2 linked regions of the Coturnix japonica genome follow. The protein of the gene in region 2 interacts with the protein of the main gene of each other region in a biochemical or structural test. Links are inferred from orthologs where the notes say so. Each region holds a gene or a part of one and is shown on either strand. Other genes may lie near its edges. The genes, in order: HDAC9 and PKD1.

Region 1 (16,420 bases), on a different chromosome or scaffold from region 2:
CCTGGAGCTATATCTTTGCCTATTACCTGTTGCACAAAAGCAGCTTGCTCCCCAGATTCCATTTGCTGGGTTTGAGTATCCTCATCACTGTCCGGTGGCTCCTCTTTGACTTTCACAGCTCCCGCCTGCTGTCCTATTCTGTCATCCTCACCAGCACTGCTGCTCTCAGCCCTAATGCTGGCACCGCTGGCGGGAGCTCGCTCTTCCTGCATCGAGTGGTCTCCATTCAGCTCTTCTTCAGCTTCCTCCAGGTGGCTGCCAGGCTGCTTTAGCTGCTCAATGGATTTAGAGAGCATCTGAAAAGAGATGGAGAGGAACCAGTTAATCATTCTTTTCATCAGTGCAGAACACTGGGAAGTACTAGATATCAACAAGATTACAGCTTCTATTGCAAGCTAAATACTAATCTATGAAGAAAAAAGAACCAAAGTTCTTAAGTAAAAGGTCACTTGTTATGCTGCAGTAGAAAATACTATATATGTAATGAGTGCTTTATGGTAATATTCAAGTAAAAATTGGTCAGAATAATGAAAGCATTATAGCACATCCATTACATTGTAGCTTCTGGCAATCAAGAGCAATTAGCTTCCCTTCATACTCTTCAAACAAAAAAGCAGAAATTTACTTAACTACATTACTGTTCACTTTTTCCCAACCAAAAATTATAAAGGAACTCTAAAAAATAATCTGGTTAATATATAAGCAAATCAGGAAATATTCCTACATGTTTCTGCATCAATCACTGCATGCATGTCCCAAGAGACACAGACGAACAGTGACAAAGAGCTCAAGTCAGTCACTGCTCCTTGGCACAGAGACTGTGAGGATGTCTGGCCCTTATTGGAAAGACTGCAGACATTGTCATGCATGGTACAGGTTCCCTTGTCTCAGCATTAATGACATAGTACAACTACCCAGACAATGCTGCTTTTACACCATTAACTGCCATTGCAGAGCTTTGCTGAGGTGCCAAATGCCTGGGTGCTGCAATCAAATCTAGTTTACAATTTCCTACTGAAGATTTTGCAAATGGATTTTTTTGGGGGTAATGGGAGCAGAATGACCTTCTAAAAAAGAATTAAGCAAAAATTCCTTTTCATTGCTGTGGACAATGCAGAATCACAATATACGTACCACCCACTCTGTAGGTGGCTTGCTCTAAGCTGAGGAATCTTCAGTTCCGCAACCAGTGCAGAGCATCTCTTTCTAATAAGGAGAATCTGGAAAAATTCTCATATCAGACCCAGTTGTTTCTCAGGGGGTGACACTGACCAGGAAAGCTCTGAAGCAAGCTACATGTATTCAGACCAGGTACACTATTCTGTAACATCTGTGGGTGATCCCTCTCCACTCCTCAGGCACAAAGAAGGAAAGCCTGGCTGCTTGGCCGCCTGGCCAGTGATCAAATACAACTAAAACATCTGCGTGACAGATAATCATATACAGCCACAAGAGTCACTAATGCTGATCCATCTGTAAAACATTCCATGTGCCAGTTACTTGACATCAGGTGCACTATTCTGGAAGGAAAGCCAAGAGTAAAGGAGAGCAGGTCCACAGAAACGACACATTTAACTCATTGCTTCTCCTCTTTTATGCTTTTTTACTTTAATGTCAGATGCTTTCTTCTTCTACTGCTGTATGGCACAGATCTTCAGTGCTGCTGAGCTTTCTGATGCAACACATGATGTCCTGCAGTATATAATCTATACATGGAATGCTTTAAATTCTTCTTGTGTGAAGTCAGTGGGGAGATACATATGTAAAGGGTTGTGAGACCAGCATGGTTTTTGCATGCATTTCAGCTTGCAGTGTGCCTGTTTTGGGGCCTGCTCCTTCACCACGGAAATCAGTAGATTTGCTCCAGACTGGTGACAGGAGGAGCTAAACACATTAAGCCTTCTAAAATTCTGTGAGATTAAAGTGTTTGTTTTCACAAGAGATTTTACAAAGTGCGTAAATACAGCCAGCTCCCATGCAAAATCTTATGAAGGGTATCCTTCATAATGGTGGAAATGAGAATGAAAGCAAGCCTCAGGCAAGGGGCTAGGAGGCACTCTTGCTGTCTTCTCATAGGGCAGAGAATAACGACAATGGGTGCACTGCATGCGGGCAAAATCTGCAAAGGCACTCCTGCTCCTTAGTCTGCTAAGCTACAGCAAGTCCGCATCTCCATATCACCACACTTTGGTATTTCTTAGTGTGGGTCTTAAAGGCAGCTTGCCCCATTTTATTCCACTAATTACATTAGTAATGTTATCAGAAGGCTGTTCAGTTCTCCTAAGACAACAGCATCTTTTTTTATACTTTTATCCCCTGGCCCTACTGTAGGTAATTACATATCTGGAGACCCACAAAGATAGCAGTCGAAAGTCAATATTTCTATATTATCTCTCTATTTTAAGCTGGATTACTCAGCAGAAAATGAACCCTGAATGAAACACTGCCAAAGTCCTTTCACAGTGCAGCTGGATACTCCTGCTTGCACTTAACATTTAAATCTTTCACTTTAAATCTCCACTTACCATTGTTTTTTTCTGTATTTATCTACAGATACAGTGAAGGAATTTCTCCTGTTCTTAATGCACATTTTTCATTTTGAGAATGTGATTGCTTAATCTGAACTTTAGTAAGACTACATTTAAAAATAATAACATAGGAGTGGTTTACTTAGTGAATAAATTAGTTGTACAGATCGGTCTTCTTAAACCAATATACATTCCTGTTATTGCTATTCCAACTAAAGTTACTAAAAAAAAAAAGGCTTCATGCTAATGTAACCTATATATTTTTTCCCCTTTTATTTTCAGGAAATTAAATTGTAAGGGATATGCATGAGCCAAAGTAAATAGTGGCAGCAGGAGATGAAGCATTTACACACATCAACTCCATTGTATAACTGCAAGAGTCCGACCAAAAAAAGACATCAAAAACAATCAAACCTGCGTGGCTGTACAGGAAAATGGAAGACACACAAATAACCTGGACCTTGAAACAGACTGTTTTACAAGGCCTCCAGTTGCAGACACTATTTTTGTGTCTCTTTTTTAATAACAAGCTCTTGTAAAATGAAATATTTTAAATAAAATGTGCTTACAAAGAGACAAAGCACAAAACCCCGCAGCAGCCACCACATACATTTCTTTCCTTAATTGATTGTTCCTTCTTGAAACACACTGCTGTTGTTTCTAGGAACTCATCTGCATGCTTATGGAAACATTTTTTCTCTTTTTGTGCCATGGCTCTCGGGTTACTCTGACCAGCTACGCAAGTTGTTAGCTGTGCTGAAATAACTTGGAAACTGCTTACTGTTTTCTCCTGTTACTTGTGTAGTACACTTCTAAGGGATGTATTTATCCTTCCAAGATCATTCTTCTGCTTTATGACTTAAACATTAGTTCTTAATAAAGGATGAAATGTTCTGGGCAGTTTTCAGTTACAAACACCTTTAATCACTGCTATAGTCTTGTTCATATAATCCCCTACTATAAGTAATACTTGAAAGAAGCAGTGTTACTGCTCTCATCTTCTGAGGATGCAAGTCAGAAAGGTAAGTTGGAAAGACAAACCTTGATTATAGTACCTCGGTTAATTTAGTCAAGTAGAACCTGATCAAAACAGTCTTTCTTATTTCATTAAGTATAAGAAGAGTGAATGATGAACCTGTGGTTACCTGGCTCTTTTCAATATTCCTAACAAATAATTTTCCTAGTATTTTCCATCAATCAATAGAAATAGCCCATATTATTTTTCATTTTTCTATTAATACACATTGGCCAATTATGATAAACTTCTGTAAATGAACATTTACTCTTATTCACTCTATTTTTGTCATATAACTTTTACCTTTTAGTCTTGCCCAGTGAAAGATGCTTTAAACTGACTAATAGCCTGGAACATTAAGGCACTCCTTATTTAATCTTTAGCATTGTCCATACTGTTTCTGTACTTTAATGCACACTGCAAATGGCTCCATTATTTTGTTACTACTCAATACAAAGGAATACTTTATCATTGAAAAATAATTGTGAATTGTCAAAATGCAACAAACATTATTTTATGAACACTTGTAGGGTTCCCATATGGACCAATTGAAATCTTGGTCCCAGTGAGGATGGTGCCACTTTAGGTTCAGCAGAGGATTGATTTTATTCACCCTACATAGGAAAAAAAAAAATGATAAAAAATAAAAGGGAAAAAAAAAAAAAAAGAAACCACAAACACACACACACACAAAACAACAGCCTTTAAAGTCTGAGGGAGGGTTCTGTTTACATGCTGCTAACATTATGACTTCTGAGATTTTCTTTATCTCAGAGTTCGACTATGGGCTTTGCATTTATATTCGTTACCTCAAAATCATATATATATATTTTTAGCAAGTGGAAGCATAAAAGCTTTTTAGATAAAGAGATACACAAATGGAAACAAGACTTCAGGATTTTTATTGCAGTAGCAATATTTTGGAACCTGATTGCAATAATTTTAGATAGAGGTTTCAGTCTTTGGTCTCCCTTTACTGAGCAGGATGAAGTTCTATAATGGTGATCAAAGGGCCTCACGAGGAAATATGCTGCAAGTTGGATAGAAGCATATTAAAGCTGACAACAGCAAAATCAAGCTCTCCTGGGACAAGCAGAGTTCAGGTTACTGCACATTCATTATAATTCTTTTTTCCCCAGAAAGCTGGGATGCAGGTTTCTACCTACTTCTGCACATGATGTCAACTTATGCAACATATTTTTAGGAGGTCAGTATACTAGATCCTGCAGGTATCCCATTTCCCACATCAAAAGCATGGCATCTGACAGCAGACCAGAAATAATCCAGAGGGGATCTTCACTTTTTTATTAAGGACAAAGACACACCTCTTGGCAATTATTTGTTTCTATTCAGAATGGAAATGATCCAGGGGGATCCTTTACCTCCAACCTGTGTCAGATTTTGCCTGTTATCACCCTCACGGCAGCACTGACTTGCAGTTACAGTATATTATTTTATGAAAGAAATCACCTTTACATAGAAGATAAATAGAAAATCCATAGGGTGGGTAGAGTCTGTTGCTCTCATCCTCTTTTTGTTGTTACCTAAGATTTGACCAAACTCATTTTTCAAGGATTCCTGACACATGACACACGATCTCAGCTCAGAGAAATACCTTAAATAACAGATTCAGATGAAATATATTAAATCCCTAAGCACTTGAAGTCCTAAACATAAAGGGAAAAGGAAAAAGAAATACAAAATAAATAGAATGTCTTAACTTGTTCTCAAAATCTTCATCAACTAGCATTTTGTAGTCTTGTCAGCTTAAAATGGCTCTTGTATTTCTAATGAAACATTTTCAAACCATGTCTGAGTACTCCTCATTAAATATTTTTTTCAAGACTGCAAGGAGGGAATTATGTAAGATTTCAGTACAGGGTCTATGTACTAAATAGTGAGGGATAGAGAAGTGGAAAATAAATATATATATTCTCTCGATACATGCTCAAACTTGTTATAAGAAATAAGATGTTGGGTTGCTTTGCTTCATTTTCCAGAATATCTCATTCTTGGATTCAGATAACTCTGCTTTGCAGAGTTCAGGTTTGATTATAAGAGCTCTAGAAATGTGTTAAGTTGGGTAATAAATAAATAACATCAACTACAAATACAAGTAAGGTTTAAGAATGAACAAAGTACATTCTATCCTGCTGCTCGCATTCAGAGACAATATGCATGCACAGGTGTTCAATCTAAACCTTTAATTAAGGACTTAAATAATATAACCTTAAATTCAGTACTTAATAGCCACTTCCTGATTTGATCATTTCTCACCACTTCTCTACTGACTACCTTAAATGCCAGTTTTTAAAAAGTAAGTAAGAAAGCACTTGGCTTTTTGTATACTTGCTGAGAACAGATGTGTGATTGGAGCATGGTCAGTTTTATTACCAGGCAGCAGATTGGTTCAGGGAACAGTATGGTACAAGAACCTTGTTACTGTAGACCATAAAAAAAGTCTGATAAACTACCCACATCCACACATAATTTGCTGCTTCTGTGGGTGCACGATGATCCTTCTCCTCTTTAGGTGTCTGCTGCTCTGATGAGAGACTGTGATCCTGATGAAAGCTATCTGCTCTGGGAGTACAGATAGAGGAAATTGAGATAGCTGGAAAAAGGAAGTATGTTGTGGTATTTCAAGACAGTGAAAGGCCCTGGGATAAATTTCTACTATCTACATGTGCATATGGTCTACAGTGTAGATGATAAAAATTAGGTTTGCTAGGCTTTAAGGGAAGGAATTGTATCGTCCCTTTATTGTAAATAATCACATTAGAATGGAAGAGTATTTCTGGAGTGTTTTGTTCTCAACACTTGTTTTCACTGCAGTTTAACACAGAGAAAAAAAAGAAAAAGTTACTAAAGCAGGCATTCTCTCATGCCAATTGAAGTCTTTTTTTAGTTGTTTTCCAGCCAAGATCTTGTGATGTGCAATGTATCTACAGTCATATGTGACTAATATATTTATGCGACTCAAGTTTAATTTTCACTTTCAAGACAAATATATATAGATGCTACACCATGTACCCCCAAATGCTATGGTAGAAAGTATGTCAATAAGCATATGACCTAACAAAAACATGTTATTGTGGTTATTGCTTTGTGAAGAATGCATGAGCAGTAGCTGATCAGTTTGCAGTGGATACCCAGAAACGGCACAAAGACTCAGTACTTTACTGGTAAAAATCTTTTTCAGACAACTGAGGGCAGGTGAAATATTTTCAAAACCTGAGGCTACAAGATATACATATGCCATCTTGATTAAACATATGGAATGCATACTCAAAGAAAAGCCAACTGGAGTCCTAGTTGAGTAATCAAAACACCCAAGCTGAGAGGGGTTAACATGCAAGGATCAGCACTGAACTTTGAAGTTTTCTGGTCTTCATTTTTCCTAATTAAGGCAAGATTTAATAACCAAACCACTGTACAAACTATGTACTTAAACTCTAGGTTTGTTTCTAATTTTGTTGAGAATTCTTAGTAGATTCCAAGGAATCAGTACCCCCTGGGAAGTTCACCCTGTAAGGTGGATTGATTTTTTTTTTCCCTTTCTCATAGGTACAAAGATTGAATGTCCTGCTTTTCATCTTTTCTCCTTCGCAATTAGCTCTTATGTATAGTTTCCAAATAACTCTCAAGCAAAACAAGAAAAGTACAGATGTATGATTACTACAACAGTGATTTAGTTAAGCAGCTTTTTTCTTGTCCTTTTTTTCTTTCTTTCCTCTCAGAAAAATATGCTACTCTACAAGGAAACAGGCACAGTTCAACTCTGTATATGACATGAGCCACAGCAAATCCTTCTCTTTCTCTATCACTGGTATTTTTATATTGCCACACAGATAACAAACTTTTACATTACTGTTGAATTTACAGAGAAGTTGATTTGATAAAAGCTGGTTAAAATTTCTACAGATGATCAATAAATTTTTAACAAAAACAAGATAAATTTAATCAGCTGATTTACTTCAAATGAATCATATATTTACTCCACGCAATATTCCATAGTGAGTAAGCTTAAACTCTGACTCAGCAGCTGAAATGAATGATCTCTGAAATTGGAAATGGCAAATAAAGAGAAGTTGGATCAAAGAAATACAGTATCCATAAGACATCATTCAGCATTCAGCAGGAAAGCATTTGTAATCTAAGCCTAAAAGATTCTTTGATCCCTATTTCATTGAATTGCATGTTTATTGATGCCATCAAGCATAAACCAATCTTGTACCATATTTCAGAAAAATGAAAATGAAGGTCTATGCAAATATATACAAACTATGCATAAGCAAGGTACTCATGCAAGAACTTGTTTTTCTCATCTACCACATGGCCCCAGCATCTACACTTCACTTATTTTTCAACATGGATGTTCATTAAAAATTACTTGCTTTGGGAACTCACCTTATTCATGTGGATCTGTTGCTGGTACTGTTTCTGCTTCTCCAAAAACTGTTGATGTTGCTGCTGGATAACCAGCTGGGCCAAAGTGCTCTGAGGAAGAGGAGCTGACTGGGTTCTATTCAGAGGCCTGTGACGAGGCAGTTTGTGGGCAGCTCTTATGCCAGGTGAGACTCTTTCTTTTGCTGCCAAAGGAGACTGGGGATGAAGAGGAACTGCTCCTACAAAACAATGACATTTTACTCCAGTGTGAAGAAAAATACTAGCTCTAATAGAAGAGAAATCTCTCACTAAGAAGAGGGGTGTATGCTGCAGAACTTTGTATCAGTGCTGATGCAGTGAGATGTGTACCACACGCCTAGCCATGCTAGGAAGTTCAGCAGTTGCTAAAGAATGTGATGAAGTAATCATTTTCTCTTTACTGTAATCAAGGAATCCTTTGAGGCTAATCGAGCAGAATCACTGAAGTGGGAAAACAAACATTCTATCCTTTTTCTCCCACCCTTCCTCTTTTTAAAACATCCAGAATAAAAATGTCATTAAAAACCTCTAAAATGATTATTGTGTTGAAACTTTGATCATTACCAGTTACAAGAAGTTTCTGTTGTCTCATCTGTTCTTTCAGTAACAGATGTTGCAAGAGAGCCTGGTGGCTGCTATTTGGTTTTCCCTCCAAAGCAACATGAGGATGAGTTGAAGATGGGGGAATGTTCCCACCATACTGTCCAGCCAATGCCACTCCTGGTCTGAGTGTCTGGGTCTCTCCCTTCTGCTTTTCTTTGAATGATGATGAAGCCTGTCAAGAAACAATGACACTGGTGACTGCTTTTCATTGTCTTGGCCATTGTTATCTCACTTGATTAGATGGTCTTTCTGAATACAGAAGAAAAAGTTTAAATCTATCTCTTGCACTTTGACTGTGACATGAAGAGGGAGGAAGAACAAGCACTGCAAGAAACTAAGCAGCTAAGAAACTAAGCAACTGACTTTTTGGGGCACATGCTTACTTTATACTCTACTATCACCCTTTCCTGAAGAATAAACACCAAAGTAAACTTTAAATCCACTTTGCAATTACTTATTGTGGGAAGAAAAATAGGCAGTATTTGCATAAATCAACCCTTTTGTTTTTTCAAATGCCAAAAGTAATATTTGGGGCCAGCTGACTCCATCAAAAGCTCGCACTATTGAGAAAATTAAATATATTTTCATTTCTATTTTTTAATGTTCTAAAATTACTTTGAAGTAAGATTTATTTATTTTATTTTTTTTAGTATGTGTGTGTGTGTGTGTGTGTGAAATAGCTATGATTTTTTTGACAATATGATCTGGAAAAGTAACTACCACTTTTCATGATCAGTTCAAGTTTTCCATCCCTTAAAACCAATCATTTGCTTATAAATATCTCATGAAAGACTTCTAGAGAAATGATTTAAAGCCTACACAATTTTCCTTTCAACGTTCTATGTCTAATTTTAAATGCTTCACTGCAGCAATATGCTATTGGTTAAGTGCACTAAAAAAAAGCCATTAAGCGGCAAGAAACTTTAACCTGCACTGGAACTGTGCAGTACTTATTGCAAACTGTAGTAGACTGTTTAGATACATATATTGTGTGCCCCGGTGCCGCAGTGGTAGAAGTGCCGCTCTGCTACACAGAGGCTCAAATCCCGGGAGTTGGACTTGATGATCTCTAAGGTCCCTTCCAACCCGCATGAGACTGTGATACTGTGATATATTTTTATTTTTTCTTACATAAGGAAATATAGTATTTCTATAGAAGTTTCCAATTCATTTTCTAAAAGTTCTTCAGAATTTATACAATGGTGTATAGAACTACAATATGATTATATGACTATTTTTGCCGGAAATCAAGAAGAGAAAGTTTTGACCAGTATCAAAATTAGAAGTTCTTTTACTGAGTCTCAGATTTTACTTCTAGATTGCTGTAAAGCTGGCTAATACAAAGATCTTTCAACATCCATCAATATGATTTCAATACATGTTGTAGCTCTTTTCTTATACATTTCACACCCTAATTTAACACTAAGTTCTAAATGAACTTGATTGTTGCAGACTGAACAAAGGATATATGAATGTAACTAGTCATTAAATATTGTTTACATAACTAAAAATTTAATCTATGTGATTAAATCCCTCAAAAAAAAAAAAAAAAAAAAAAACCAACAAAAAAACCAACAACAACAAAACCAACCAACCAAACAAACAAAAACAAAAAAACCCTCAACTTCAGGAATGCTGGATTCTTCCCCTGCTATGCTTTAGCCCAGCTTGGGTTGCCACTGCATCTCATTATAGAATGTCAGAGGTGCTGTGCTTTACCAAGTAGGAGGGATTATACAATTAGAACTTTTATACTCTCTGAAGTTTGTTATCATACTTACAAATATAACTACAATACCATACAATACAATACAATACAATGGCCCATACTTAGCTAAACTTCACATCAGCTCTTATTTCAGATTGAGAATAATAATTGCTTTCAAGTTGTTTTCTTAAAATTTCAGATGCTGCCCAGTTGAAAGAAAGGTCTGGAACCTGCTCTGATTTGCTTATGCTCCAAAATGTTAAAAATTGAGAAAGGGCAGAAAGTAGGTTATTTCAGAGAAAAAAGTAGGAAGAAAAAGTAGGAGGGGGAAAAAAAAGTAGGAGGGAAAAAAAAAAAAAGGTAGGAGAAAATGTAGAAAGGCTTACGATTGATCACTTACACTGATTTGAGATTGTACAGCTGGAAGTCCCAAGGTAATGTTGGGCAAAGAAGGGGACGTGTACAGACTCAACAAGTTCACTGATTCATCCTGTATCAAAAGGCGTTGCTGTGAAACCAGATGCTGGAATAAAGAGGAAAAACAATTTCCATACAACCTCCAAGCTCTTTTTTAAATCTTGATAACATTATGCCTATTTTGTTGCTATATTTAAAGCCAGTTATGTGTCATGGATTGGCTTGCACCACAGTGGGGTTCCAGATAGTAGGTACTGTCCTTGTAAAGAAAATATTGATATTTTCTTTCTTAAGAAAACATCTGAAGTACACCTAAGATTATGCACTGGCTAATAAGTCAAATTTCTACTCAGACCCAAATGCTTGAAGATTCCCAATCCACCTCTTCTCTCATCAACTGCGCTTTTACTGCTTAAAATACCATCAGGATTTTAGCCAATGAATTATTGATTGCAACTAGATAAATCAAAAGTGTTATGAATATGGAGGAATTAGACCTCTACTATAGTTAATAACATTTTTGATGTAAAGTATGAAAAATGGCTCCTACCTATCTATGTATGCGCTTACCCATATAATGATATGAAGGTGTTTCAAACACATCATTAATTTCCATTGACATTGACATGGAAATTTGGGGTAGAAAGTGAGGCACACATTCGCATCAGTCATTAATATATATATATACACCGTGTCTATTTCTGCATATACACAAAGAATAGCAACTCATCATTCTCTGATGGTGGAATATCCCCTCACTTCTTTCCTAATTCCTTAAAATTTAAAATATTTAACACTTGTTTTGAATCCTTGTGATATAATTTTCATGTGCATACAATTGCTGATATAATTAATGTCAAGTAAATCAGGCATACTACAAAGATCACCCTCCATCTTTCCATTTTAGGGAAGAAATATAAAAAATTACATTACTGTAATAGGAATATTTTAATGCCCTTGTGTTTCTGCTTTAACAGTCATGTTTTTCAACATGTGGTCTAGTATAGTTGCTTGAATTACGTTTTCTCTTTAACTCTTGCTTCCCTCCCAGAATTTTAACACAATGAGACCTACAAAGGTCTTATTAGACTTAGGAACTCTGGCATGATATGGTCCCCAAGGGAACAACATCCTTGAAAAAGAATACCCCGTGTAACAGTATGACACAGTGACTGCTTTCTTCCCAAACAAAAAGCATATGGGACTCCAATAATAGACCACCTCCAAGAGGGATACTGCACACTCGGGCTTTGACTAAAGTAAATATAATAACTTGTCAAGCATGTTGTGGGGAGCTGTAGATTTTCCCCTGGACAAACCTGGAATATCAATTAACTCTGTAAAATACTTTGTGCTAATACAATGCAACTTCAGACCATCAATGAAAAGCAGTTAAGCACAAAAACACAGGATGTTATTGCAAAACATAACCTTCCTCATACAGTTTGTTTGGAGATACGACCTATCACTGAGACAAAAACAGAAGAAGTCTATCTCTGTAATTTTCTTTTGGTATCTAGGGAATGTCAACAGATAGCGTATGAAACAAAGAAGCTTCACTTTTTCGTTACATTAATTCCTAGCTAACAGTGCCCTGCCTTGGTAAGATCCACCTTTGACCATGATTAAAGCCAAATAAATCAAGACCACAGAGATAGAACAGAGGAAGACTATGAAGATTTGACTGCAAATGGATGCTGTAGCAGCTCGTGTGCTTTCTAGAATACCAAATTTGTATCCATCCACTGCAGTATTTATAGAGAGCCACTGCAAAAATGCATGTTTCCTTTTTGGTTTCCAGAATGCCATTATTGTTTCCTATGATTTGAATCCACAAATGGAACTGTGACAGGGTTTATAACAGCAAAACATATTCCCACATTAAGATCACGTATGACTGTTAAATGACACAGCACAACAGATAAGTCATCGTCCTTCATGGGTTGGATTGAAACCCAAATTATGCCAAAGAGCAACTACTTTATTGCTCCTCCATATACTTACTCACTGAGTCTATGGACAGCACAACAGATAAGTCATCGTCCTTCATGGGTTGGATTGAAACCCAAATTATGCCAAAGAGCAACTACTTTATTGCTCCTCCATATACTTACTCACTGAGTCTATGGATTCTGTTCACTGATGCCTAAAGTAGCCTGACAACATAGTGACCCTCCTTCTTGAAATAGAAGTATGATAACTAAATGTAACAGTGAATGGCTACCACCAAGATTAGTTAGATTAGTTAATAGGTTATCACCCACATTTAGTTATTGTGCTCTATTTTATTGCCAGGGCCTGCTGGGAAGTCGGAACACCTACTTTATATGCACATTTATCATTTATACATTAGAAGGGGAAGAGGAAATGGTTTGGCATTAAATACTTGCAACTTGTGGAGATATAATCATAGAATCACAGAATGGCCTGGCTTGGCCATTCTTAAAGATCTTAAATCTTAAAGATCTTAAAGATCACCCAGTTCCAATCCTCTGCTGGGAGCAGGGTTACCCCCCCAAGATCAGTTTGCCCAGGGCCACATCCAATCTGGTCTTGAGTGCCTCCAGGGAGGGGACACCCACAACTTCTCTGGGCAGCCTGCATCAGTGTCTCACACTTTTTGTTCCGATTAACAAAATTCTTCCTAACATCTTGACTAACTCTTCTCTCTTTTGTTTTAAAACCATGTAAAAACTCAGTCTCAGTCTTGTTTATATGCTCAAGAATGTGTATATCTGCCATACATGTCATTTTTGTCTCCTGTATACGGTGACATCCTACGCAGTTTTGCTCTCCAAATAGCAAATGTAAGAGCAAGAAAACAACCAAAAGTCCAACAACATCAAGTAGAAACTCTCCATTACCTTCACTGGCTTTTGACCAGTCTGTGCATTCTTAAAACAAATTATTTCACATGACTATTGCAGATTGTCCCTCTGAACTCAAGGGACATGCTGTGCAGGGATCAGTCCTGACTGCACTTCTCATACAAGTAAGATTTAGCCCAAGCACAGCAGGTGACCTGAAAGCATATGACACACTACAAGAGACAAATAGCTACTGCGGTGAACCTTGATGCTGCTGGAGACAACTGGGCCTAATAAAAACAGCACTTTATTTATAAAAGTTCAATTAAGATCTTGAGTTTAACTTCTAAGTTTCATATAAGGAAACTAATGTTTTAACAAATGTTACTGAAAGTACCATTAGGGGAACTGTGATAGGAAAATATTATCTGCATAAGTGCACCATACACAGTGTGCATTTGTTCATTCAAAAAAATAGATATGCCTGCCCACCAGACTGTACTCCGGAGGGTAAGCCACGTAAAAGTCTAGCTATTCAAATGGGTATGGCAAAAATACTTTAAAAATTTGTTACATTACTGATAATGCTCTAATTTTGTCTATGTACTGGAGTGTAATCATTTATGGTATTGACTCATGCTTTACTGGTAAATGGCTTTGTCATAGCAACCTGGTTTTCCTCAGCAAAAAGTGTTTTATTTGCTGCCATGAAAACCACAGCTATCCACCCACTCAGATACGAGCACAACACTTACTGCAAATGTCAGACCGATTATTATGAAACAACAGCAATGTGAGTCATTCAGGATTACAGCAAAACAAGTGATACTTTGGGTGATTTTGGAACACTTAGCCTGTTATTAGAAACTTCAGTACTTTGTGTATCTGATGAAAAATTGATTAGATGCATAGTCTTTGAGAGCTGGCAGCTAGTGCTAAACTAGCAAAGAGATATGTAGCAATTTGGCTGCTGTTAAACTACCAAAGAAAATCCCACTGAAATCAAAATGCACTGAACTTGAGATTTATGGAAAAATGTTTGAGCCCACAGGACCACAGTATTAACAGTCAAGTAACCAGAGAGGTAATGAAATCTCTGACTGGATCCAGAAATGGAAGTCAGTAGTTTCAGCTTCTTTGCCCACGTCCACCAAGCTAAGAGAATGACTCCAGCATACAGAAATCAAATTTAAAAGGAACTTTTTAGTCTCATTTGAAAATTTTCGATTGTGTGGAACTGAAACAGTGGATAACTGGCACAGTAATGGTAAGTGAAGTGTTTTATTAACAGAAAATAAAGTTTGGTATAGCCTTGCCAAATCTCCCCAGACAGACTGCAAGCCTGACCTGACTCAATCCTTTTCTGATGCTGGTTCAGTGCTGTGGGCAAATGCCCAGAAACTAAAATACCCAAAGTAACACACAGTGAACCATTATTCCCCTTGAATTCTGTAGTATCCTCAAGTCAAGACAAAATGCAACTGGATATGACTTCCTGTTTAATGAGGCATCAACATCCATATATGACAAATTTCCTAAAATATTTCATTTAATACGACTGAGCTAGGATCTGATCTAATCCAAATGATGGATCTTGCTCTGCATCATTTACTTTTTTTTTTTTGCAATCACATACAGAGGGGCTACGAGGCAAGACCACATGTTAGCCATCAATGCAATTTTTATTTTTTTTATCCTTTTTGGTTACGGGCCAGAGAGAGGCTACTAATCAGTGTGCAGAGGTCACCCACCTGCCCTCTGGATCATAGTTCACACACACAATTAATTCATTATGGGGAAAAGTCACTGCTGGAGGTTGAACTGCCCATTCCAGGTTTTTTTGAGGTGAATGTCCTGTCACTGACCTAGAGAAGTAGCTCCCTTAGCTAAAACTCTGTTAAATCACATTTTCTTATGCAATATATATATATATTTTTTCCTAACATAAAACATATAAACAAACAATTCTTAAAAACATTTGTCACAAAAATGAAAATTCCTATAGATATACACACTGGAAACAGAATATTTCTGCACTTCAATCTTTTTAGTTACATTAATTTTTTCCACCTTTACAAAATTACCATGGGAAGCATGATTTATGCATGATATCTGTGGTAAATGAAGTTTATCACGACTGATTTACCATCTGTGTTCCTGTCATTATAGGCACGTTTGAATGAAACAGAATAATGAGTAGTTAAAATTCCTTTCATGTACAATTTAGCTTCACAATACAAGTATCAAAGGCTCCTCACACATTGGTTATGTTGGTAAGCATTACACAGATAAGGAAACTGAAGTGCACTAAAATATAAGGCAGATGTGAAAAAGGACTTAGTCACCTAACTCTGATACTGTACTCAAATACATCCACTTCAACAGCATCTGAACCTGGGAATGCCTCATTTCCTACATGTTAGTCACTGATGATGAAGTCGCACTTTTGCTTGCAGAAATTCTTCATTAGCAGTCAGCATTCTGCACTTCTTCAAATTATCCCAAAAGGTAAGCCAGATCCCTATTTCCTCCTACCCACAGCAATCTAAGAGCCTGAAATATAGGTAAAACTTTGCTTTTTTATCTCCACTGGCAAGAGGGATGCAATGACACTGTGACATGACAGTGATTGTTTATTTCATGGTCTACTCTTTTTGCCTCATTAGTTCTTTGTTCCCTTCCTCCCCAGTTTATTTCCAAATGTCCCGCAACATAGATGCTTTCAAGTTTCTTCCACAGATTCCTCCAACTGCTGTGATAGCACCACAGCTGCTTTTGTAATCAGAATCTTTTTATATGCTGGCCTCCTATGTAGAGTGTGTATCATCTTATTCATAACATAATGTGTTGTCATCATGCAGTGTCATGATATCCCCACTAATTATAACTGCTGCAATTATTCTATTTGTAGGTA
Region 2 (16,420 bases):
AGCTGCTCCTGGAAGAGCAGAAGGTTGGGGGTAACGATTGGTACGTACCGTGCACTGAGCCAACGCTGCTGAGATCTGCTGGATATCATCAACCGTGTTCACATTCAGTGAGTTCAGGGTTTCTGTGATGTTGTTGCGAGTCCAAGTCCGGAGTTCAAATTCATTCCCAGTCTCAGATTCCAGAAGCATTGACCGCTCATACTGAGGAGGATCAAAGCAGGTAGAGTGAGGAAATGCATCAGGTTGTTTTAGAGGCTGATGAGCTGTGCTGAATTCACCTTTCCTGCACTCTACATCTCCTTCCTGCCTGTTTTTCTCCCCAGATGGTGATTTAATGAGCTGGGTTTTCAGTAGAATTTTCTCAATTTCACAAGTGTGCTCCAAGCAATTACCTTAACAGCCTTGCACTTGACAGCTAAGTAGCACACCAGTGTGCAGTCCCTACCTAGCAAAGCACAGTGCCTGTGCTCATGGGGATGCTGAGATGAAGAAGGGTGGCTGCCTCAGGGAAGCATGTAGGAGGTGGGAGAATTCGGACCAAGATTTCTGCTTTTAAACTCAGTGTTTACACCTGAGGTTAGAAGCAGAGAGGAAAAACTATCTAAAAATGAAACCTGCACGAGGGATGTCCAGATCATCGTTTTCCCTGGGACCACTGTTTTATCTTACATGGGTCTTACACCTTAGCTTATTCTAGTCACTGTGTGCCTGGAGCCAGTTACTCCTTCTGATATGCTGATTTACACTCACACACAAAACAAAGCCCACCAAACACAAAACCTGTAGCAATCAATAGTCATTTTCCTACATTGTTAAACAAAACCTGGCCAAAGAACATTACTAGCAGTTGCAAGACCTTGCAGAGGTCCCTCTTGTGCAGTGTGCTGCTTTACCTCATTCAAGATGGTGATGAGGGCCAGAGAGTACTCAATGACCTGCTGAGGGTCCCCCTGTTTCACTAAGCCCTGAAGCACGGTGTCTGTTTGATTGTAGAGCCAGTAGGAGAGGCTGGGGAACCCCTCAGGTAAGCCAATTTCCATGGATCTGCCAAGGAAAAGAGGCATTTGGTTGAGGTGCATATTTTCAAACAGGGTTGGGAGCAGGGAGAAGAATCTGCCCTTTAGCTGGGAAGGAAAATAGAGGGGAAACAGGTTGTTAAACACCAGTGAAAGCATTACTAACGCCTGCCTTGGTAACCCAATCTGCAATGGATGTAGGAGCTCTGTTGGCCTGAAGCTTCTTAGCTGGTGCAGCTTTGCAAAGGTGGATGTAGATGATGCAAAGGGATGCACTGAACCCAGAGGAAAATATCCAAGTTTAATTTGGTGGAGCACAAAGAGCATCTAAATAGGGCCAGTGTGCTGGGAGGAGCTGCACTACTTTTGGCATCACTCCCTGGGGTCTGAGACAGCTGGGACACAGATTCTCCTCCATAGGCACTGCACAACTGCACGCTCCTCCTCAGGAGGATGGGACTAGATCAGCTTGGAGAAGGAGCAGGCACACAGCTACACCAGGAAGCATTGGGAATAGCTCGGGACACTGCCTGAAGACTCATGGGCATTTGTCACTCTGCCCTTTGAGAGATGATCCGCAAAGATAGAGGCTGTCTGTGGCAGCAACATCTCCCATTTGTTGAGCCTCCAGCAGCCTCATTTAGAAGGTATCTCACCCAGAAAATGCTGAACCCTTCAAAAAGTGATTCAGGAACTGCATGCAGACCCAGCCCAGCCTCTCCCCAGCCTTACTGGTTAATGGCCACCACAGTTGCTCCCAGTTGATCCTGAACAAGGACTGACACAGACACCACGAAGCCACTCTCGTGAAAGCCCGGAGGCAGGAAGGCACTGTGCTCAGCACGGCTGCCTTTGTACACACAGAACTCATGGTAGTGCCCAGCGCGGTGGCGAGATGCCAGGAGGATGTACACCAATGGGTCCTCTGCATTCTCCGTGTCCCGCCAGCCTGCAAGACAAACCCAAAGACACTCATGCATTTGTGCACAGAGCACCTTAACCTCTAGTCTTATGGGAAATAAGATTTTTGGAGACACTTGGCCCAAAGCTATAGACCATCAGCCAAGCCACTTTTCCAAAGCTGGATCCTTTGTTGCTGTCTCTGCAACTGGTTGAGAAGATAACTGCTGATGGGAATATCTAGCCCATATGACTGAGATGGCCCCAGTGCTCTGTCTTTACACTTCCCAGATCTGTGTGACTGTTTTGGGCATGTATCTTCTTTTTCCTGCCCTTCTAACACCAGTTTCTCCCACAAGTACTACCCTGGCCCATATACTGCTATTCAACCACATGGGTTAGGTGTAAAAAAGTGCCTTCCTGCCATTGTGATTTCCACAGGGTGCCTTAATTTGAGCACACAGAACCGCTCATGGTCCAAGATTTGGGGAACAGTGAAAGAAAGGTCCACACCTCGAATGTACTGGGATATGAGCTAAGGGAAAATAAAACAACTGTGGGAATAAAGGCACTTGGTAACTTACTAGGCATGAGAAAGAAGAACAGAGAGGGCTGGCAAGTGCCCAGCACACTCACCTGTACACTCAAAGTGCACCTTTGCCATCAGTGCCCTGAGCGGTCCTTTGGGAGACAGCCGGCAGGATCCATCGATGGGCGGCTGGTTGGGGAGCAGGTCAATGGAGGCAAACCCTTCCTCCCCTGTTGTGAGGTCTGTGATGTGAAGGGTAAAAGTATAGCCCTCCCCATCCTTCAGTGCCCCTTGCCTCAAGACCAGGTTCATTCCCGTATCACCGGTGGAGGTAGTTTTTTTGTCCAGGATGAGAGACTTGTTTTTAAAGCTATGGGCTGCCCATCTCTACAGAGAAGAAGAAGGGAAAGACAGGAGAGGTTTTGTTTGAATTTGAAGTTATGTCCCTAAAATGTTTTCAGATTGAGCCTCTTATAAAAAGTAACAGATTTCTAGTGGGAGCGTCTGCCAAATTTGCAGTTGATAATTCAGCCTTAGTCTCGTGTGCTACAGCAACAAGAACTGGAACCATTCCAAAACGTCTGATGGGAATATTTCCACTGTGAGATCTACTGTAGTCTCTGGGATTACATCACCCTCCGACAGAATATTTCATAATACAGAATACAAAACACAGGAAATAAATTAAGTACTCGTGGAGTCTCCATGGGATACCGTGTTTTATGTGCTGTAAGCTGAACATGTCCTGGACAGTTACTGTTAATAGCACAAATGTACTATTGTGATAACAAGAGGACTGCTGAGATAGCCAGCCAGAAAATGCCATGCAGGTACATGCTTGGCCTGCTGGGAGCAATACAGCTTAGCACTCACAAATAGGACTTCCACTTCTAAGACCCATTTCATTCAACAGATTGCAGAGATGTTGCTTACTGGAATCTATAATTAGAGAGCACGAGGTGCTTAGGGAATCAGAACAGTCTGAACAACCTCTGCTTGAACCACCAGCATAACACACCAACCAGCAGGGAGAAAAAAAACTCTTTACTAATCTCTTAGGGGGGAAAAAAAAAGGTCTTTGTGTAAAAACTGCTGGTACTTAGGTAGATGCAGACAGACACTGATGTAGGAGTGATGTGCTGTGTGTAACACAACTTCCAGGCCCCACAGAGCAGACATCTCCACCATGATGCAGATGCCCTGGGGAAGGGCATTCTCTGACAGCTCACCAGGGGATCTGGTCTTTCTGCTCTGTCCCCTTCTCCCTGAAGTCTACTAAATGCAAAGCAACAACCAGCATTGCTGGGCACTTTACCCCAATCTTGGAGTCATTGTGGCAGTTTTGGCAGGTCCCTTCCAGGTAGACATAGGAGCTTTTGCTGACTTCGTAGACAGACTGAGCTTTGCAGGAAACACACTCTAGGGATACAATCGGGACTCCTCCCCTCTTGATAAATACCTGAGAAAACAAGAGGCTCCATCAGGAGATCTGAGATGCTGAGGGACAAGAATACAGACATCTAGAAAGTAAGCAGACGTTGCAGCACCTGCTTTTCAAAGAGGAGATGGTCTGCACCAGCCCAGTATGTGCTATGGAAACAGCAGGAAGGGATTCCCAAGGGATTTCAGATGGCACCAAGGGACTGCATTCTTCTGCAGAGCACCCAGAAGCATGGGTCCTGCAGAAGGCTGCTGCATGGGAAGCATCTACAGCCCAGTGTAACAGAGGGCTGAGGGCAAGCCAGAGAGTGTGTGTTTGCTGAGGACATTCTTTGCTGTGCAAAGCCAGCACCTGCTCCCTCCAGGATGGCCACAGGGACCGCCTCCCCAGTTTCTGCTCTGATCTATGGAGCTTGGCATTGAAGTGCATGCTGCATCCCATGATTTGACCCCTGGGCTCTTGGCTGCTTTGTGTGAGCGTTTCTGACACTATCCATATCCCCAAGAAACAAAAACAAAGGCAAAATTAGCTAGATGCAACTCCCACTACACATCAAATGCTCTTTGCTGTGCAGATGGAAGAGCCAACTTCTTCAGAGAGCTGAGTATAACATCCCCATTCTTTGCCTAAAGCCCTTTGATCCCTAAGGAAACAGGGCTGTTCAGCATGGGACAGAGCCCTCTCCCCTGGCATAATGAATGTTCCAAAGTCAAAGAAAGACAATAATGAAGACATTACTCTCAGTATGGCAACTTTTAAAAGAGAATAAATATTCAGCGGCACTAAGCCGGAGTGCATTAAAGCTTCATTCATTCCTATGGTATTCGCAAATTTCCTATGAAACTGGAATCATTGTTTTGCACTCATGCATGGAAACCAGATAGTACGGAATGTCCTTGAAAGACTATCAATTTCATTTTTCTTTTTTCTTTTTTTTTTTTTCTTTTCTTTTTATCCTCCAGCTTTGGTTTAAAACCCAGGCAGTAAGAATTTCCACTTTCAGACTAACTATATCTCTAATTGCCAAACACACCATGATGAATGTTACTGACATAAACCATAGCCGCTGTCGGAACACAGATGCATTCAGTGTTAGGTTTAATTTGACATAAACAACATGCACTTAAGAAATCCTCCCTTAATAACATCCAGAAGGACGGTGAAATTAAGGATCAGCATTTAGGAAGCTCTCTGCAGGCAAAAATCAAGGAAGAACTTGGTAATGTGACGTATGAAGACCGCAGGACTGCGTACAGCAGTGGAACAACTACTGACCACGGGATCTTTTGTGTTCTATAGCAGAAGTGTTGCTGCAGACCTCTGGTCCCAGGAACCAGACCGGGGCTGGGTTGTGAACACCAGGGTTGCACAGTGAGACTAACCCCAGGTCTGCAGGAAGAAATAACAAGGACTTGGCAGGACAAGAAAACAGTGCTGTGTAAGGTGAATGTATCATGGAAACACCTGCACCTGTCTCTGCCAACCACCAGAACAGGACTGCTTATGTAGCTCCAGCAATGCCCTAAATTCTATTTCACCTGCATCTCTGCCCCTGGGATCAGGTTGGGAAAGCAGCAATGGGCACACAGAGACAGAAAGCAACAGAGTTCTGTGGTACGTACGGTTTGATTTGTTGCCTCGGGATTCATACCCTCCTTCCAGACAGTGAGGTTGAACGTATACTCCACATCTGCTTCTAATACAGCTTTGGGAATTGTGACATTTCCTCCCTTGGCACTGAAATTCAGAGAGCACCCTGCAGCCGAGCTCTGCTTGCAAGGAGAAAAGAACTTTCAAACCCTCCTTGGTACGGGTGCACATCGGGTTAAGTCCACAGCCAAAACATTCAGGCCCACACAAAGCCCACTTATCACAGAGCTCTCTGTGCAATGCCACCACCAGGGTGGGACACACGAGGTGGTGTGTGAATGACAAAGAACATTAACCTACTCTACAGGTTCATATGAACGCTCCTGTTCTGCTCCTGAGTTTCAGATTCTTAATTTATAGCAACTGACTCTTCCATCAAATACTTCATAAAAATTGCTAAACATCACAAATGAAACTTGAAATTCTCATTCACACATAGCTCACATATTTTCACTTTGTGAAGATAGAAAGCAATGACCTTGGCCAAGGAAAATAATCCTGCATTCAATTAAAATATTCTCCTGAGGTGGATCTCCCATGCAAACGTGAGGGTCACACCTCCCCTTCCCCTTATCCACTACAGCATCATATCGCCTCAGAGTGAGGGTGACAGGCTGAGTGATTTGGCTTGTGCCTACTCCTCTAAAGTCGAACTGTTGCTATCAGACATCTAATTGTTCACAGAAGAGGGACCAGAGCCCTCCGCCCTTTGGACAGCAGTCAGCAGCTCTGTGATTCCTTCAGGTTATGGAAGATGTTACACTGAACCTGAAGCAGAAGCCAAGAAGAAAGGAAGCAGAAGAATGAATGCCTTTGGCTTCAAGTGCAAATGCTTCTGAAGCATACAGGGAGGGTGCTCAGTGCTGAACTACAGCAGGCTGCATTGCACAGCTCCTCACAAAAACTGCTGTACCACTGTCCTGAGCTGGGAATTGGGCAACATTTGCAAACCTCCTTCCCAAGCAGCTTTGTTAAAGATGGTCACAACAGCTCCCCTTGATACCATTTCAACCCAGATGCTAACACATGTATAGTGAAGCTGACACTCAGTCAGAGCTCCCAAATCATACAATTACCCAGGTTGGAAAAGACCTTGAAGGTCATCAAGTCCAACCTCAGTCTAATTTTCAAATGATCACCCTCTATGGCTGTACAAAAATGCTCTTACCTTGGAGGAGAAGGTACAAGACCACTGGTAAAACAACGGAGTCTGTTCACCATCTTCCAAGTTTGGGTCATAGGATTTCTCCCCATCCAAGATTAAGTCTTGAGTGTTGGACCACACACGGTATGACCCCCCATCAATGATTGGGACCAGCTTACTCGGTATCATGGTTACATTGGCAAAGATGCTTTTGGACAATGGAGTATCTCCAAAGGAGACAATGAAGACAAAGCAGTAGCTCCCAACTTCCAGGGCGAGCTTTGGTATAACGAGCTGCGGCCTGTTCACATCAACATTTGGCAGATGGATCCTGCTGGAGTCATCCAGGTGCAGACAGCTGGGTGCTCGGTATATCTCCCATAGGTGCTCTGTCTGATACTTGATGCATCCCCGCAGATCAAGCTGTGCCTCCAGGTAATTCCTCTGGGACCTCTTCATGACCACTTGAGGGGGCAAGGCTAGCTCCACCTCCGGCTCCTCGCATTCCAGGACCTTGACGGTAACAGTGAGGTGGGCTATGAAGAAGCTGATGAGATTGGTGGCATTCACCTCCACCAGGTAATCCCCAGGGTTCAGGTAAGAATAGTTGGCCACTGCAGTCCTGGTCATTTGAGTGGAAGAGCCGTCCCCAAAGGTCCACAGGAACTCAACACCCCTGCCATTGGGTACCACTGCTGCTTCAAACAGTGCTGTTCTATTGACAAAGGCATTGGAGGCAGTGAGGGAGACTTGGAGTATAGGGTCCTGGACCTGGATGGTTCTGGTGATATTGATACCTCCCAGGTCATTGAAGGCCCTGAGGTGAATCTCAAGAAGCCCTGCAGCCTCTGGAGTGTAGGAAACACTCTCTCCTGCTGCAGTGACCACGGAGCGGCCCTGCTCCTTCCACAGGGAGAACTGCCAGGAGAACAACACCCGGGAGCCGCTCCCCACCTGGGCACTGAAGCTCTTCTCTGTACCTGTGGGAATGCCTCGCTCGCAGCAGTTTAGGAGCCTGATGCCACGGACAGCCTCCAGAACCGAGATAAGCACCTGGGCATGAGCAATGCTGATTTGGTTCTGCACTGTCACAGTCACCAAATAATCGCCGCTCTTGGTGAACTCATGTGTGTACTTGGACCCATTAAGCACTACGGAGTAGTCCCCACTTATGCTCACCAAGTAACTCACGGAGGTACCCGATGACATCCTGATCACAAAGGTGACCTGCTCACCTGGCTCTACCACCTTCTTGCTGGCAATAACTTCCAGTCCTTGAATCCTGTCAAGCACAGAGATATTCCTGCTGGCCACAGCCCAGCTGATGTCATTTGATGCATTTAGATAGACTGTGTAAAACCCTGCTGTGGGGAACATGACTGCCACGGACTGGCCTGTCAGTGTGCCATTCGGTACCTCCCAAAGCCAGGTCACTTCAGTCCCCTTCTGCAGCTCTCCTTCAAAGATAACAGTGGAGCCTGATGAGACATACCTACAGTCCAGTTCTGCAGTCCCTATACTCAGTTCCTCTATGACCTCCTCCACATAGACACTAATTGTTGCATTGGTTGAATCCAGCTTGTTTTCTGCTCCGATTACAACCTCCACAGCCCCAGGGCTTTGGAAGGAATGTATGATAAAGGATTCAGATGTAACAGGAGAGAAGCCATCCTCCAGGTACCAAATATACGTGATACCAGAGCCACTGGTTATGGTGGCACTTATGTTAACAGATGCATTAACAGCAACTGGGTTGGGGAAGGCATAAGGCTTTAGAAGACCAAGGCTTTCGATGAATTCCAGTGTCTTGTTAGCAGTTGCACATCCCAGCATGTTAGTAGCTTTCAGATAGACAGTGTAGTTTCCAGCTTCTAAGACATTCAAGGTGAAGGTTTTCCCAGTGGATGTCTGCACAGCATTGCCATCTTTTTGGGCTATCCAGCTGTAAGAGATGTTTGTCCCCTCTCTCACCACAGCGTGCAGATGGAGTGTTTTGTTAGTTGGGAAATAGAGATCCTCCACCAAGTCACTGCTAGCCACCTGCAGGCCTTCAATCTGTTCCAAGACGTAGACATAGATACTGTCCTGCAACGAGCTGATCTCATTCTCCGCGGTCACAATGACATTGAATGTGCCCACGGAGCGGAAGGTGTAGAAAATTGTGGAGGAGCCTTGGATGGGAGTACAGCGGTCACAGAGAATCCAAGAGTAGCGGATGGCATTGCCAGCTACAAGTGTGGCCACAAAACTCACTGAACCATTTAAAGGCACAATTGTCCTGCTGGCATTGATGGTAATCCCATGTAGCCGACGTTTCACTGTGATGTCCATCCTGGTTTCATTAATGCTCACGTCATTCTGGCCTGTCACACTAATAGTGTAATGGCCAGTATTGTTGTAGGAGTGGGTAGTGGTTTGGCCAGGCTGGGTAATGCCATCTCCAAAGTCCCAAAAGTAATTCACTTTGGTTCCATTCATGCTGGCAGAGAACAAGTAGACCTGGTTCAGCTCTAAAACCTTTGTCCCATTATATTCAATCTTTGCTACCCCAACTGGCTCCTGGACTTCCACAAATGCCGTGTCATTGTTGAAAGAGACATTGTTGGAGACAGTCACTGTAACCAGGAAGACCCCTGTGCTCTTGTAGTTGTAGCTCACTTCAGTTCCACTAGACCTTGTGGACTCATTGTTGCCAAAATCCCAGCGATAGCGGTACTGGTAGGGGGGCATAGCACTGACCTGGAAGCTGCATTCCTCACCAAGCCTCACAAACTGCTTGGAAGGGAGAAGTGTGACATTGACTACCTCTGGCTCCACACAGACACTGGTGAAATAATGAGCCTTGTTAAACTTGCTTGAGAGAGTCAGGGATAAGGGGAACGTCCCACTTCGTGTGAAGTTGTGCATCACTACAGGGTCCCCACTGACTGTGACGTTGGATGAGCCATCTCCAAAGGTCCAATCAAAGATGTATTCACTGGGATTCCCTGTGACGTATGCAGTGAGCTGCACATCTGGATGCTCAAGAATGCAAGAAGTAGGGTCTATTTTGAGTACTTCCAGGACAAATATCCAAACAGGAACAGTTTGGGAGACAGAGTTCACAGGATTCACAGCTGTCACATTCACAGTGCAGTTGATGTCCTTTGTGTACACATGTTCCACCACTGGCACCTGACTCCTCAGCACCGTCCCATCCCCCATATCAAATATCCAGGTGATACTGTCTCCCGTCTGCACTGAAGCATTAATGGTAACAGCTGCACCCACCTCTGCCACCTCATCTGCGGAAACGTAGAGCCCAGTTATCTCTTCAAACACTTGGTAACACTCAACTGTCTCCACGGTGCTTATGGTGTTGTTTGCTGACACCGAGATGTTGTACACCCCCCTGCTGGAGTAGCTGTATGTCACCGTAGACTGGCTCTCTGTTACCAGTGAGGACCCGTCCCCAAAGTCCCAGGTGTAAAAGACACCATAGGGAGATGGAAGTGGAATGGCTCTGAAAGTGACTGAGCGGTTTACAACTAAAACATCCTTCGCTGTTTCTATTTGCACATCAACCAAATAACTGTGGACGCAAACTGGGGTCATATAGGTGAGGTTCTCAAACTGGTTTGACACTTGAACCACCAGGATGTAATCACCTGCACAGAAAAAGAGCAGAAAAGGAACAGTGGTGAGAGCAGTAATTGTGCAACAGCTTTCTCAGTACTGTAACAGTATGGGAATGTGACAAGCAGTCCCAGGGAGACGCTCTGTTCCTGCTGCATACACCCTGTCCTTCCCTCCTCTGTTCCAGGGCAAGCAGGAATTATGACCAGGCCATGTGATGTGCCAGTTTGCTCAGGAACAACATAATGACTTCAAAGGTACTGTTTTATTTGAAGGTGCCTTGTGACATCCATGAAACAAAAACATCTGAGTTCTTTTTTCCCTAAAGAACCAGCCTGAGCATACCTGGGTATTCATAGATGTGTGACACATTGTGCTCAATTATAACCTCGTGGACACTGGGATCAGGAACAAGGAAAGACTTGTTGTAGGGAGGTGTGAACTGGTATGTCTCTTGGATACCATCTCCAAAATCCCACCTGGAGAAACATACAGACTACATTGCACCACACCACAAAAGCCCCAGGCCTGAATCTTTCAGGCATAAGGTGAGGGTTTTCAGAAAAAAAACATAGCAAGTATAATGACAAACATCAAAGAAGTAGCTATGCCAATGCTGCAGAGCCATGGCTGTCAGAGGAGCACTGCACTACTAGGAAGAGTGAATACTGAAGCAACATAGAAGTCCTTTAAGAGAAAACTATTTCAGGCTTCAAGTACAGGTCCCAAGCAGTGTGACTGAATCAGATTTCCAGGGACTACTAGACAGCAGATGAAGAAATGGACATTTAAAATCAACTGTCCCAGAGAGAAGAAATAACACGGGGAAGGCCGGTAAGCCGTGCACAGCAAGATCCTTCATTCAGGTAACTTGCAAAGGACTCACAGGAACATAGCATCCACAGCTGAATCAACCTGAACTCTTGCTGTAAACTCCATGGTGCTGTTCTGGGGGAGGACCGGAGGGATGCCCAACACAGTCAGGTTCTTCATCTTATTCATCATCTCCACAGTGACATTGTAGTTAACTGTAAAGTTACTGACGTGGTTGGAGGCGGTGAGCTGGGGAGGACAGTGGGACAAAGAACTCACTTGGAATCTCCTTGCCATGATGCCCTCTCCTCAGAGTGGGGCTTCACTGCGTGGAAGAGATCCCCCCAGGCAGGCAGCAGGTTAGGTCAGAGAAGAGTAGCCTGTGGGACAGGGAGGCAGAAGCAATAGCCTGAAAGGCTCTGGAAAGCAGCATAGACTGGAAGGTCACCTAACCAGCAAAGCCACCTTTTGCTAGACCCACACCTTTGACACTATACTAGTCCAAGGAAGGACTTGTCAGCACAGTGCAGCACGCAGAAAATTAGTGCAAGCGTGCCTTCAGAGCTAGGGCTGGTGTCTCTTCTGCCACTAGTCATCCTGCAAATGTATTAAGCAGCCTTTAGCCAGACCAAGACTCTACATAGCAAGAACCAGAAAGGTGTTCTGGCCAGAGGTGAACTTCTCTTCCACAGGAGATACTTTCTTCTGTCCAGATATTTTGCTCTATCCTTCTTCTGGTGTTTCTGACTGCACTAGAAAAAAGTGGACAGGACAGAGACCAGGAGAGCTTGTGGCAGAAGCTCTGTTCTGGCTATGAAAATCTTACATTTGAATTCTACCCCTGCCTGGTTCTGAAAACACATCTCCTGCATGCCAAAGCAGTGGCCAGCACTCTACTCTGGGGCTCACTGCCTCATTCCTGCTGGGAAGGAATAAGGACAGATATTCCATGACCAGAAAGGAGCTGGGGAAAAAAGGAGAAGGCAAAGATAAGAAAGACAGAGAAGTCAGCAGGAAAGAAAGCCATAAAAAGAAACTTACTATGTGCATTTGCAAGGAATAGCAGAGGAGCTTGTTAGGAGCACAGCAAAAATCTCCTCAACTCAACTGGAGCACATGGCATGGACCTGCACTACTGACAGCTCCTGAATGGAGCAGGCTGTCTGCAGAAAGCTCTGCTGCCTTCTTTCCCTGCTCCTTTTCCTGCTTAGCTCATGGGATGAAATGGAAACCCAGGATTAAAATGGTATTATGGTATTTCGGCTTACCGAAAGCTTGTACACAGCTGGGCTTTGGTAGATAACGTTGAAGACAACATTGTAAAAAGTGAAAGATGGTTTATCATCTACCGTCCATCGGAAAGTCACATCTGACCCGGCTTCCATCACAGGGACATAGCTCTGAAAGGCATGAGGACATTTTATGCTAGTGCAAGAGAAAAGCATGCACAGCGCTTCCCAGATGGGCTGGAGAAGGAGCAGAGCCAGACTGGGAGGCATCACACACGCATAAGACACTGCTCTCAGAGAATGACACAGGTGTAGGATCACCTGTGGCTTTGCCACTGACAGAGCAATGCAGATCCCGACTCCATAAACCAACAGCAAAGCTGGGAGCAAAAGCTCTATTTCCTGCTCCCACATCCTCATGATCTGCTCTTGGGATCAGGTCTCTTTCTTGCTGGCTAAAAGGCTTTCTGAAATCTTTGCAGAAATAACTCAGCTTTACCTACACCTGCAAACTCAATCTCTGCCCCTAGTCCATGGATGCTGCCTGTTCCAAACACAAAAATGGTTGCCTTGCATCAAACAGGGTAAGTTCCCTACTCCTACAGTACCTCCTGAGCAGGGAGTGTGAGACTTAACAGGCGTTGCAGGCACAGAGTTCTGCCATAAGCAGCCAGAAACTGAGCACAGTCCTTTACAGATAATGATGGGCAGTTTTTAATCAGGTTCTGAGGGCTTGGCTGTAGTTCTGGGGATGAGGGATTTTGGGGGAAAAAAAAGACTAAAAACATCAGAGCAAGTCCAAGCCTTTGATGGATGGAAGAAACACGTCTCTAGCTTCTGTCAGCTGGTGTAAAGATTTAGTAGAGCAAATCAAATTGCCTGAAGGAATAAACTACCTTGACAAGTCAAAACAAGGTAAGCACTGGCCTCTGATAAATGCATCAATTTTCCAGTCAAATCCCTGGGAAAATGAAAAGCCAGTATTGCTTTTGCAGGAAGCGCTGCCTTACCTCTGAGGGAATTAAAGTGAGCATACAGCTGAGCTGCTTCCCTGCCAGAGAGCATGAGTGGTTTCTGCCACATGCATGTACCAGAGCAGTGCTGACTGCATGGCTCACGAGCCAGCACTTAGCAGCAAGCAGTGCTATACCCTGACCGCATGTGGAATAGAGCCCTTGTCTTCCTCTCGAATCAAACTTTACTTTGGCAGTAAAGGCTTAACATCATTAAGTAGAAGCACCAGTAACAACTCACCACTCGTGTATTTAGCAGGACTCTGCTCTCAGGGTCTGGGGTGGCCCTCAGCCCACGGATAGGCTGTTCCACTTTTATTGTGATGGTGATGTTCTGGGAGCTGATGGCATTCTCTGCAACAAGGATGTGGGTACTTGCCCCCTCCTTGAGGCCGCTCAGGCTGAGCACAGCAAACCAGGTGTCATTGTTCTCTCTGGCACAGTCTGATGTCAGTGGTGCAATAGTCTGTGGGCAGGCCCCTTCGAAGGGGAAGGTGTGGTTGTCTCCCAGCCAATGTGCCGTCGCATTCATTCCCGAGGAGATTTTGACCACCAGGGTGATGTGGTTGGATGGTACATACACTTTGCCACCTTGAGGAACTGGGTGAACAACACGCAGGCCTGACACTTGGGAAGTAACCCAGAAATTGCACGACAGATTGGAACTGAAGATCCCATTGTCCACGCTGGCTCTGACTGTGTAAAGTCCTGGATGTGCTAGCCCTGCATTCTGGGGGCTGATTATTGGGACCAGCTGCTCCTTGGCATAGAGAACTCGGAGAGAGCAAACAGTGTTATGGATCCAGGTGGCATCAATGGAGCCGGCAGGGAGGCCAAGTGCCCAATCTGAAGAATTTGTACTAAAAAAATTGGTTCTGAAAGGGGACGTGGTACTTAGTTGGCACTGGAGGAATGAGCCCACGCCTGCATTGTGCTGGATACTGAAGACATCCTTGGCTCTCACAAAAACATCTTCTTTGCTGAACGTGACCTGTAGGGAGAGGAGACATTTTTGGTTTGCTGCACTCAGCACCCAATTCTTGCCTTGGCAAAGCTGGATCTGCTGCCAAGAGGAAACTCACAGAAAAGCCAGAGATGTGTACACTGCATGCAGAAACATTTCACCACTCTGCTCTCCTCAGCCACTCTGAACCAAATGCTCTTACATGGAAGACAGCTTTATGCTTTATCTCCACTTCTCAAATGCAATGGGAATAACCCAGAGCATCCGCACAGCCTTTTGCCTAACTGTACTATTGTACTGTTGTTACCACAGGGAGTTTGCAGCCTACAGAGATGACGACAGAAAGTGGTGGCATGAGCCCTGCACCAGGCCTGTGAAGTATTCCCTGGGTAAGCCATTTCATTTGAATGGACTTCAGCTTTTCCATCTGAAGACTGCAAGCAATTCTTAATTTGCCCAAAGCACTCAGAGAGAACTGCCCCACTTACTCACTAGTTACAGCAGCTAATAAAAACTGACCAGATAAGGGGAAGAAGGGCCAGCTGGTATTGTAAAGAGGAACTCCTCTACAAGTTCATAGCTGAGCTGGCTTCCATTGTGCTGAGGGGATGCAGGGACAGGGCTGCTGGCAAAAGAACTGTTGGTGCACTCTGTAGCATTGCAGCAGTTGTTTACTGATGAGCACAAATCAGTCAAATGACACCACTGGAAGCCAGGAGGACATTCAACTAGAGTATAATTCCCATCGTCCTGTGAAGTAGGAAGTGGTTCTGTAGCATTTTGTCCCTCCTGGTACACTGGAAGAGGTAAAGAGAAAGCAAAGATTACCATTTTAACAGGCAATTCCGCTCTAGTGCAATTCTACTCAGCTCCAAATTCACCATATTCTTTTCTCTGTGACTGATGATGACTTCATCATCAATGCTGCAACTGCAATGCATCCCAGTGCTAAACAAGTCAGAAGAGTCCTGTTTTACTGGCAAACTTCACAAAGGCACAAAGTTTGTTAAACATAAAGTTAGTCTCTTTTCCAGGAAGAATGCGCCAGTTTGCAATCTAAAAGAGATCTGTGTTCAAGTGAAAGCTAGTCCAAGCAAAAGCAAAGCTGGCTTTGACATTGAAAACACATTAAGTAACTTTTCTTAAATTAATGTTTCCATGTTAAAGTATCAGCTACCCTTTTGTAGCCAGCCAACTGTATGGCTATAGCAAAAAATCTGCAGCAAAATTAATTGTTGCCAAAACTCTGAGTATTGAGCTGTTGTACAAGGAATACGAGGCTTATTAGATCATCTCATCCATCAGGAAAAAATGGGCTCAAGAAAATATTCTTCCTCATTAACCTGTGGGGCCAGATGGACCAGAACACATTCCTTTTAGACGTATCATGTCTTCCCAAACCATAGAAGTATAGCTCAGAAGGTTAATTTCCTTCAACGCGTGTTTCAAACTCTCTCATCATTCTTGACACATGGAGACAGGTAACAATGCCATAAGAAACTACTTGGGATCTTCATGGGGAAGAAGTATCATTCCTAAGTTGTAGCTTAGGGGAGTTTGTCCTGCTGTACCATTACTGTCACAGATGCAGGTCAAGACTTTGCAGTCCCTGCCGTTGTTAACCCACCACTAACCAGACTACCATAACTGATGAAGAGCCGTTATTTAGCTCCTCACTGGTCATGAACCATCAGCCATTCACAGGTCATTGCTCTCCTACGACCACTTCTCCATCCAGAAATCTCTTCTTCAGCTGCTCCAGTTGGCTCCAACAGAAAACAGCGTTGATCCCTGGTTTTGATCCATGCAGTTGTGGCTCTGTCCCTTTCTAAACTGCCAGGTTGATGTAAAGTTCACCCACTCAATTTCTCCCCCTGTTCAGTTCTCCAGGACACCTACTTATAAAAAGCAACCTCAGGCTGTCCAACTACACCCACAGATTTTGAACATGAGACTCTTCAAAACACAGTACCAAATCTCTAATCCTTTAAGGCTTCAAAGCTTCTGCTTCAAAGACAGAGAGCCACAAGAAAGCCCTGCACATTCAGATTGACATGGCCCTCAGGGCACCTGCTCTAACAATAACAAAAGCACTAAGAAGAGATG

What was found.
Region 1: the proteins of PKD1 (region 2) and HDAC9 form a complex in vitro, tested with the Homo sapiens proteins (2 studies listed by BioGRID, with this or other methods). The link is inferred for Coturnix japonica from reciprocal best matches to the Homo sapiens genes PKD1 and HDAC9.

The regions. Positions count from the first base shown.
Region 1 is NC_029517.1:26,953,426-26,969,845, reverse strand, and holds part of HDAC9 (histone deacetylase 9), read right to left. Parts: intron 10,806-16,420; coding exon 10,683-10,805; intron 8,747-10,682; coding exon 8,536-8,746; intron 8,172-8,535; coding exon 7,954-8,171; intron 297-7,953; coding exon 27-296; coding exon of another isoform or gene 1-26. UniProt on the Homo sapiens protein: Responsible for the deacetylation of lysine residues on the N-terminal part of the core histones (H2A, H2B, H3 and H4).
Region 2 is NC_029529.1:6,274,620-6,291,039, forward strand, and holds part of PKD1 (polycystin-1), read right to left. Parts: intron 15,112-16,420; coding exon 14,834-15,111; intron 14,342-14,833; coding exon 13,592-14,341; intron 12,509-13,591; coding exon 12,377-12,508; intron 11,358-12,376; coding exon 11,182-11,357; intron 10,775-11,181; coding exon 10,641-10,774; intron 10,328-10,640; coding exon 6,705-10,327; intron 5,659-6,704; coding exon 5,509-5,658; intron 3,905-5,508; coding exon 3,761-3,904; intron 2,833-3,760; coding exon 2,553-2,832; intron 1,966-2,552; coding exon 1,749-1,965; intron 1,045-1,748; coding exon 894-1,044; intron 202-893; coding exon 49-201; intron 1-48. UniProt on the Homo sapiens protein: Component of a heteromeric calcium-permeable ion channel formed by PKD1 and PKD2 that is activated by interaction between PKD1 and a Wnt family member, such as WNT3A and WNT9B. Both PKD1 and PKD2 are required for channel activity.